2 linked regions of the Nothobranchius furzeri genome follow. The protein of the gene in region 1 purifies or fractionates together with the protein of each later gene. This does not show direct contact. Links are inferred from orthologs where the notes say so. Each region holds a gene or a part of one and is shown in the gene's direction. Other genes may lie near its edges.

Region 1 (4,414 bases):
CAACGGCGGGCGGGAAGGGGGGGCGCTTTTGGAAGAGTTGTGCGACACAACGAATCGATGACGCAATTCGTTGCCAACGCTTTTAGTAATCGATTTTCATCGAATTTATCGATTCGTTGTTGCAGCCCTAGTTGCAGTGACCCTGGAACATTTCAGCGGCCTTCCCGCAGTCCCGCCCAGGCTGGGAAAGGAGACAGAGTTGAGCTGCCATAGCGACGGCACATTCCATATATCTTCTGAGGGGGGAGTTTTCGTTGGAGCCTTGCAGGCTCAAGGGCTCCAGATTCCGATTAGAAATTGTTTTGGGGCTAGACAGAGATAACTTCCTCTCTGTCTTACAGTTTGTTGGTCCTCAAACTCTCAAAATCCCAATAATGGACATTAATCTATCCCAATCCGTGCTGATTCGTTCACTCTCTCCTTGATGGCACCCTTTTGTGCCAATGAAGGAATCTCGGCCAAAGTTCCAAGCTTACGATTCATCTCGACAATTATTTGAGTCTGTGAATTCACAGCGCGGTGCAAACCATCTCTGAGCTCCGGGATCAGGCCAATAATCCTCGACAGCTCGTTAATTTTCCGGTAAGCCAGGTAGCCTCCAAGATCAATGAGCAGGAAACCTGACACCAACACCACGAATACCCACACGTCTTCAGAGTCCTCCACAGACAGCTGAGATAAACAAATCAAGTTCCACTGTTTCCAGGAGTCCATGATGTGTCCAACTGGGTCTGTCCCAGCGGGGCATCCAGGAGCCCCTTCTCCTGTTCTCATCGTTGAAAAAACTTTATCAATCACGTTGAGAGACCAACTGACGAGATCCATTTAAGTGAATTTCAGTTTCCAGAAAAATGCAGAAGCAGCCATGCACCCAGCACACACAGACAGACAGAGGGCCTTGAGGATAACATATGGAGGAGAGGAGGAAAAAAAGCGTCTGCACCCTCCAAGAGCCGGAAGAAGAATGTTCTAGAATGTCCTAACGTTTTAGGGCACCTCTTAGCCAATAGCGATGGCAGATTTAAATTCAAATGTAGTGCAGTTTTTACCTGACAATGACACAACACTGACAGTTTCAGGCAGAAATTTTAAATTTTAACTAAAATGCACTAAAGTGCTAAACTATTGACTACATGTGCCTGCAGCGCGATTACATACACATTTATATAGTTTATCAGAAAAAAAGTTGATTTGGGGTGACTTGCTCTTTAACGATTTTGGGGGAGAAAAATAAAATCTAAATAAACTCTTGTTTTGGTATTCTTTATAATAAAACGTAGAATTTTCACAGGTTTAGAAAAAAGTAACCGTTTTGTTTGAGGTCATTTGATTGTAGAGACCAGATTCGTCCAGCAGGCGGCAGTAATGCAACAATAAAAGGACCCAGAAGAAAACAAACATGGCGTCCTTCCATAGTGATGAGTGGAGAGCTATATGCGACAAATTCAACAACGCCCAAAATCTCACCGAAGTAGAATCTAGAAATGACCCAGAGAACGACCCGTTCCGTTCCAAGTACAAAGCCCGGGAACTTCTCAGAGAAATCTATTGTTCACTGAAGAGTTTAGAAGCTGGTGACGGTGAGCAGGACGCCGACGGCGGAGAGAGCGGGGACCAGCTACCGACGGAGCAGCCGGTGGACGACCAAAAGGAGGAGGGTGTCTTCTCTCGGGGCTTCAGCGGTGACTCCCCAGCGGGGAAGCGAGTGGCCAAGCTCGGAGCTGTGGAATATTTTCTGGGCGTCAACCATGTGGACACGGAGGAGCTGTCAGCCGGGCAGGAGCATCTGATGAACTGCATGAAGCTGCTGGAGAGATGCGGGGTGTCGTCGGAGAATGTGTCGCTGTTCATTAATGTCAGGGTAACGAACGATGACGTTTCATCTGGTTTAGTAATGGCGGAGTTGGCATCATTTCAGGTGTGTGAGTACATAAGCTGATGGTGTGTGTGTGTTTGCTCTCCGTTCCGTCAGAACCAGCTGGGCATCCTCTGGGCTGGCCGAGATGAGACCGAGATGGCTCAAGAGTACCTGGAAAAAGCGGAGTCCATCTACCAGCGTTACATGAAGGAGGTCAGTTAGGTTTTCTGAGCAGCTGCTGGTGCACTCACTCAAACTGTAGCTGATCCAGAACTGTTTTTATTTGGACATTTCATTTGCAGCACGCTTGTTCATCAGGACCACATTGCTCTGTTCCTGTTCTGTCATCACGCTTCTCACGACCCTTTCTGTGTATTTTACGCGGCCAATGAGTCTCGTATATATAATATATAATCACAAACACTGCAGTTGAAATTTTATGAGGTCAAATCCTCCCCAACATCTGGGATTGTTGTGTTTTCTGTGCCTCGTGAAGGATGGGACTCCTCCCACCGACATGACGGAGTACTTTAGTGCAGAGGAGAACCTGCTGACACACCAGGAAAGGATCAAGAGGTAATTTCTGAACCCCAGCTTCCATAAGCATGCTCTGCACGTTTTAAATTATATTTCTCTTCCACCAGGTTCGAGCTGGCCTACACCCACACCATGTACTACCTCGCTCAAGTGTATACAAACCTCGGTGAGTGTGTGTGGCTGAAGTTCTCGTTACCGGGTAGTTTAGATTACATATGGATGTTTCACCATCGTTTGTCTCTCAGGTCAGAAAGAGCGTGCTGCCACCTACTGCCACTGCACCCTGCAGAGACAGTTACAGTTAAACCAGTTCAACCCGATGGAGTGGGCTCTGAATGCAGCTGCGCTGTCTCAGTATTACATCCCAAAGGTACCACTTGGGTGCAACGGGAAATTGTTGACTTATGAGTTAAAATCTCAAAGGATGTTGATTCTTCTGTTGTAAACTTTAGTAAGCGTCTCGCATTTGTGCTGGTGTTCTTCTCAGGGCCGATACATGGAGGGCAGGCATTGCCTTGCAGCAGCTACTGTTGTTTCAGGTTTGGCTGGAGAGGTTCCGTCTGAGGCCGTAGCTCAGGAAAGTAAGAGCCCTCTCATGAAAACATTTTATTTAAACGCCTGTCCCAGAGTCGAGTAAACCGGCGTAGTTTTCACCTCTCCTTGCTTCACCTTGCTTCACCCTGTTCCTCTAGACTTGTTTATCATTCCTCTCTTTGGTCACTGGCACATCCGATCGTCTCTTTCTGTCCGACTCAGGTGAGGCGGAGAGCGAGCGCAGAGAACAGCTCAGACAGAAGAGAGCAGAGATGGCGAGATGTTGGATTAAATATTGTCTAAATCTCCTACAGGATGCTAAGAAACTCCTGGAGGTACTGTTTGTGCCTGTTAACGAAAACCAGAGAAACGGAATAAATTCCTCTAACTGTCAGATCTTCACGCTGGTTTTTAAGTCTTGTATGAAAGTCTTGTGGGTGTTCGTGCAGGACAACATCGGTGAGCTGGATACGGATCGTCAGGATGAGCTGAGGAGAGCGAGACGACGACAGGAGGAGGAGGAAGAAAAAGGGAGGAAGAGTGCTCTGCTGTTTGGCTCTGAAGACACTTTTGATTCTATTGCAAGTGTGGAAGAAAAGGTCTGAGTCACCCGAGTTCAAACTTTATGTTGGTTATTGTGTGGGTCTTTGTTTTATGAGGTCATAAAGCTTTGTTTACATTTTCTTTAAATGCACACACACACACACACACACACACACACTGCGTTAATGTAGTAAAGAAACATGGAGTGGATTAAGTTAATCTCACAATTATGATTTTGTATTTAAAAAATATTACACAAAAAGTGTGTAAAATTCAAGCATGCATGATAGAAGAAATGAGATGTTCGTATCAAGAAATTAAGAGTCAGAAGATGTCGGATATCTGTAAGATAACAAAAGGCCAATGTCGAGCAACCCTAGTAGCTTTGTCATTTTTATTTTTGTCAAATTCCTTCATTTCACTGTGCATTATGTTTTGTTTGTTTTTTTCATTATATAAGTTTGAATGTTTAATATAATAAGAGAATCTTAAAAACTATTAATGAGGACTTTGGGTGCCTTGTCAGTAGGGGGCGCTATTCTATAGATTTTATTAAGTCACTTTGCTGACTGCTTTTTTGTGTTTTTGGTTTGTTTTGCGTCCTCCGTCTCTTACAGGTCATGTGTTTGCTACCTCTGGACTTCACGGAGGCCAGATCGGTTTTTCTGGTGGGACAGAATTATGTCACGCAGGTACGCACAGCAGGAAACCGTCTCTGTTTAATTGACTGAAACTCGTATATTACATCACAAGTAGAGGAACTCTGCAGGAATGTGGAGTTTAAACACCTTACAGTAATTCTTTACCAGCATAGAACATCATTTGTATTTGAAACTATAAATTTGATTTTTCCAATTTTTAAAAAGCACAAGTTTTCTACATTTTTTCAAAAAAGCCTTTTTAAAAATGTTAATTTGTCCGAATAAATAAAATTTATTTTGA
Region 2 (3,815 bases), on another chromosome or scaffold:
TTATTATTCTGGAATTAAGGAAACCGTTCAAAACATTTTAATGGAGGCAATCTTCAAAAATGTACATCCAGGTGATGCAGATGTTTTATTTGTGTTGCAGCCTCTCCTCAGTGGGGTGCCATGAAACTGTCCCTGATGATTGAAGAGGCCAATAAGATCAGTGTTAAACTGAAGAAACACACGGTCTTCAGCAGGTGGGAGAGACGCTTACTAATGCACAAATAGAGGTTTTAGGTACTTCTGCACCACGTTCCTCATCGTCATCGAGATTTGTCTGTGTAGAAGCAACGTTTAGCCTTTTTTAAACAAGCATTGTTGTGACTTTCGTTCAGATGAGCCAACTATGGTGTCGCTTTCTTCTGTTTTAGATACGAGAGCTCAGATCGTGAGAACCCGGAGCAGCCGGTGCTGCAGGTGCGGGTTCAGAACACAAAGCTGGGGATCTCCACCTTCTGGAGTCTGGACAAGTTCCAGAACAACATGGCTGCCATGAGAGAGCTCGAGCAGGTTTGAGTTCAGCCGGCTTTATATTTCATCTCAGAACAGTGGTTAACCGTCGGGTCAGGGGTGGGGAATCCTGGTCCTCAAGGGCCTCTATCCAGCAGGTTTTAGTTGTTTTCCTGCTCCAACACACCTGATTCCTGGATGAATCACCTGTTCAGCACCTCATAAGACTCTGCAGCAGCCTGTTAATCACCAGTGCATTCAAGCCAGGTGTGTTTAAGCAGAGAAACAACTAAAACCTGCTGCATGGCGGCCCTCGAGGACCAGGACTGCCCACCCCTGTATTAGGTAGTTCATGTCTATAGTCTGTAGGAATGTGGAGCACACACATTAGAATGTAAGAGTTGACACAGAGCTGTGTAAACTTCATTTAGCCTGTGCTACACTGAGATCATGCATGATGTGTGTTGAGTAAGATAGACGGCGCCGCTCTTCCTCATTCTGCATATTCACACGACATCCGCTCCACTTAATTGCCAATTTCCCTGCCGTTTGACCTTATTTACAGTCCAGAACGACGTGTTTTATGCCCGGCAGAGGAACGCCGCCTCACTTTGCTGCGCTTTTCTCATTAAGTTGAGTCAGTGCGACTGGGCTTGTCAGCAGTACTTTACTCTCCACAGGGGGATCCCACCTCTAAAGATGACGATGTGTTTTACGACCCTGATGATGAGTGGGAGCAAGATATATCAGCCTCCTCCGCCTCCTTTTCCCGTCGAAGGTAATTATCCCGCTCGTCTCCTCATCCTTCAGCCCGTCTTTTAGTGGGTTTTATTTATGGGGCTTTTAAAACTTCTGCAGTTGCTTGGTATTCCTCGTCAGCTGTGTGAAACGAGGAAAGTCGTCAGAAACGTGAGAGCCGTTCTGATGAGTGTTATTTTTCTTCTGAATGAACTGTCCTCGTGTTCAGCTTTTTACTTCATGCGCAAGAAGAAACTAAAAAAGGACTTTAAATAGAAAACTTTAAAAGAATTTGGCTATTTTGACAAGGTCCTCTGGGTTCCCACAGTGCAATTTACAACCTGGCTCGTATTTAGGACCCTGAGCTGTTCTTTTTTTTTTTTTTATGCCTGCTGAATATTTTCCACCTTGTTGTATTTCCTCTGTTTATTCATCTCATGTTCACAAAAGCCAAAAAAGACATTTGGAAAGGCAATGAAAGGTCTCCGTTTCTCAGTTCACAGCTCTTAAACGGAACATGTGCACACACGCACGCACGCACGCACGGAAAACCTGTTGTGAATGCAGAAACTTTTCCTCTAACAGTTCCGTTGTTGTTCTTGGCGTGGACTCCTGCTGGTGCCCAGATCGGCACCAGATCCAGCCCAAATAAAACACGCTACAGTTTGTGGGCCTGTCATACTTTTCTTTTTTTCTTTGACCCCGTTAAACTAATGCACATGTACTTCACAACCATAATCACTGCTGTTTATTCTCCTCCCCACTTCTGGAATAATCCCTGTAAATTAACTTATGTTTTCCTGCAAATTTTCACAACAAACACACCTAATTTAATTTAAATCACCCTCACAGTTTTTAAAGCTCATTTTCCTGCTTTCACTGAATGAAAGAAATGCACTCTGTGACCAGCAGCGCCTGTGTTGTTTGTAAACAAAACAACTCCAGATGGATGCCATCTAGGATTCCACATAAGTGTGACTTTAAAAGGAGGAAATCTTGACTAACTGCAGTTTGAGCTGCAGGCTGTTAAGGTGATCTCTAGTATGAATGAATGCCTTGTGAAGCGATTTTTGGCGCTCCTGTTTTAGGAAGCAGAAGTTGGTTGGAGGCATGTCGGGGTGGAAAACACCCAAGATTACAAGCCGTACTCTTTGATACTGATATGCGAACGTCTGCCCTCTGATTGGTTAAAAGCAACTCTTATAAACATGAATGTATAGTCTGGCCACGACCCACAGACAGGTTTCAGTTGTGGGGTGGTTGTCTTTCAAACGGTCTCCACATGTTATTGGACAAAGAACTGTAAGGGAAAATGAGAGGTTCTTACATTTTAATTAATGAGCCGTAAGGCGTGGGATTCCATAGGAAGTATGAAATCCGCCTCACGGATCGGGGGTTATTTAAATCAGAAGGTCGGATCTTTTTAATGCATAGATTATGTAACCGTTATGTATTCACTCAGAGACGACAGAATAAAGAGTCAAGTTTAAAAGTTAAGAATTTTATTACTAACGATTAAACTAGGCTTATTTAACAACTAAGTGTGTAGTGTAACTAAAAATGGATGAGGCGGTGAATGGATGACGTGTCATGTAAATCAGAACCAGCAAATCCGAAGAAGCGATTAGTTCTGACGGGAACTGAAGATGTTGGTTTGGAATAAGCTTGGGTTAGTTTCAGAACCAGCATGAGACACCATCAAGTCGGTCTACCTGCCTTGTGGAAGTCCTCTGTAGATCAGGAATGCCGAGGCCCTATCGGACCCTCTCTGGAAACCGAGCCGGTAGAAGCAGCCGCGGTTTCGACCAGACCTGTCTCGAGTTACCTCCGGCACACAACTCTTTATTGGTGTCTGTTCAGACCCAGCCTGGGTCGGTGGAGCTTTTATTCTGAAAGGAGCTGTTGTGTGGTCGCTGGTTGTTATAGCGACTGGATTTTTCAGCTTGTCGAGGTTCTTTCGGTTGAAGAGTTAAAGGTCGGATTGGCCACTCCGACGCTTGCTCTGGAACGCTTTGAACTGGCGTTCGAGCTGACGTGGCGTAGTTTTATACCTCGGATGTTATGGTTTATTGTCGAATGAAAATTACCAAACACCGTCAGAAGCACGCCTCCGTCAGATCTGTAAGGTTCTGATTGGATCAGTGAAATAATGTGTCATGTCTTTTTAACACTACGTGAAATTAGTCCTGTTGGAACATTTAAAGTGACATTTCTTCATTTCTAAGATCATAATAAAATAATTAATATTTTAATTTCACAGATCGGTCACATCTTATTATTGACTAACACTTTGATGGATTAGCTTTATTAAAATAGAGTTCTTTGATTAATTAAAAGAAAAGAGTTCATTCTTCTTTCTTCTGTCTTCATGCTGGAATGTAAACAGTTTGGAAGCAAATGCATGACCTTGAGGCTGTTTCATGCACACTGACACTGTGTCAAAGGGAAACAGCTGTTGGGTAGAAATGGCTCCTTCATCACGTTACAGAACAATGTGATGTGCTCATCACTACGGATGTCAGTCAACGGGGCAGTCCACCATACACTGTCTGAAGAAGACACAAATACATCCTTTTTCTAAATAAAGGACTTAAGTACCTCTATCTGCTCTTGACTCAAAGAAAAGCCCA

The links.
Region 2: the proteins of kifbp (region 1) and kif14 purify together in Homo sapiens (affinity purification with mass spectrometry; 3 studies listed by BioGRID and IntAct, counting the BioPlex papers as one, with this or other methods). This does not show direct contact. The link is inferred for Nothobranchius furzeri from reciprocal best matches to the Homo sapiens genes KIFBP and KIF14.

What each region holds. Positions count from the first base shown.
Region 1 is NC_091749.1:53,758,577-53,762,990, forward strand, and holds the start of kifbp (KIF-binding protein), read left to right. Parts: upstream 1-1,362; 5' UTR 1,363-1,399; coding exon 1,400-1,861; intron 1,862-1,972; coding exon 1,973-2,071; intron 2,072-2,354; coding exon 2,355-2,434; intron 2,435-2,502; coding exon 2,503-2,561; intron 2,562-2,640; coding exon 2,641-2,765; intron 2,766-2,882; coding exon 2,883-2,976; intron 2,977-3,151; coding exon 3,152-3,264; intron 3,265-3,378; coding exon 3,379-3,528; intron 3,529-4,089; coding exon 4,090-4,164; intron 4,165-4,414. UniProt on the Homo sapiens protein: Activator of KIF1B plus-end-directed microtubule motor activity. Required for organization of axonal microtubules, and axonal outgrowth and maintenance during peripheral and central nervous system development.
Region 2 is NC_091748.1:63,552,473-63,556,287, reverse strand, and holds part of kif14 (kinesin-like protein KIF14), read left to right. Parts: intron 1-100; coding exon 101-194; intron 195-368; coding exon 369-507; intron 508-1,127; coding exon 1,128-1,225; intron 1,226-3,815. UniProt on the Homo sapiens protein: Microtubule motor protein that binds to microtubules with high affinity through each tubulin heterodimer and has an ATPase activity. Plays a role in many processes like cell division, cytokinesis and also in cell proliferation and apoptosis.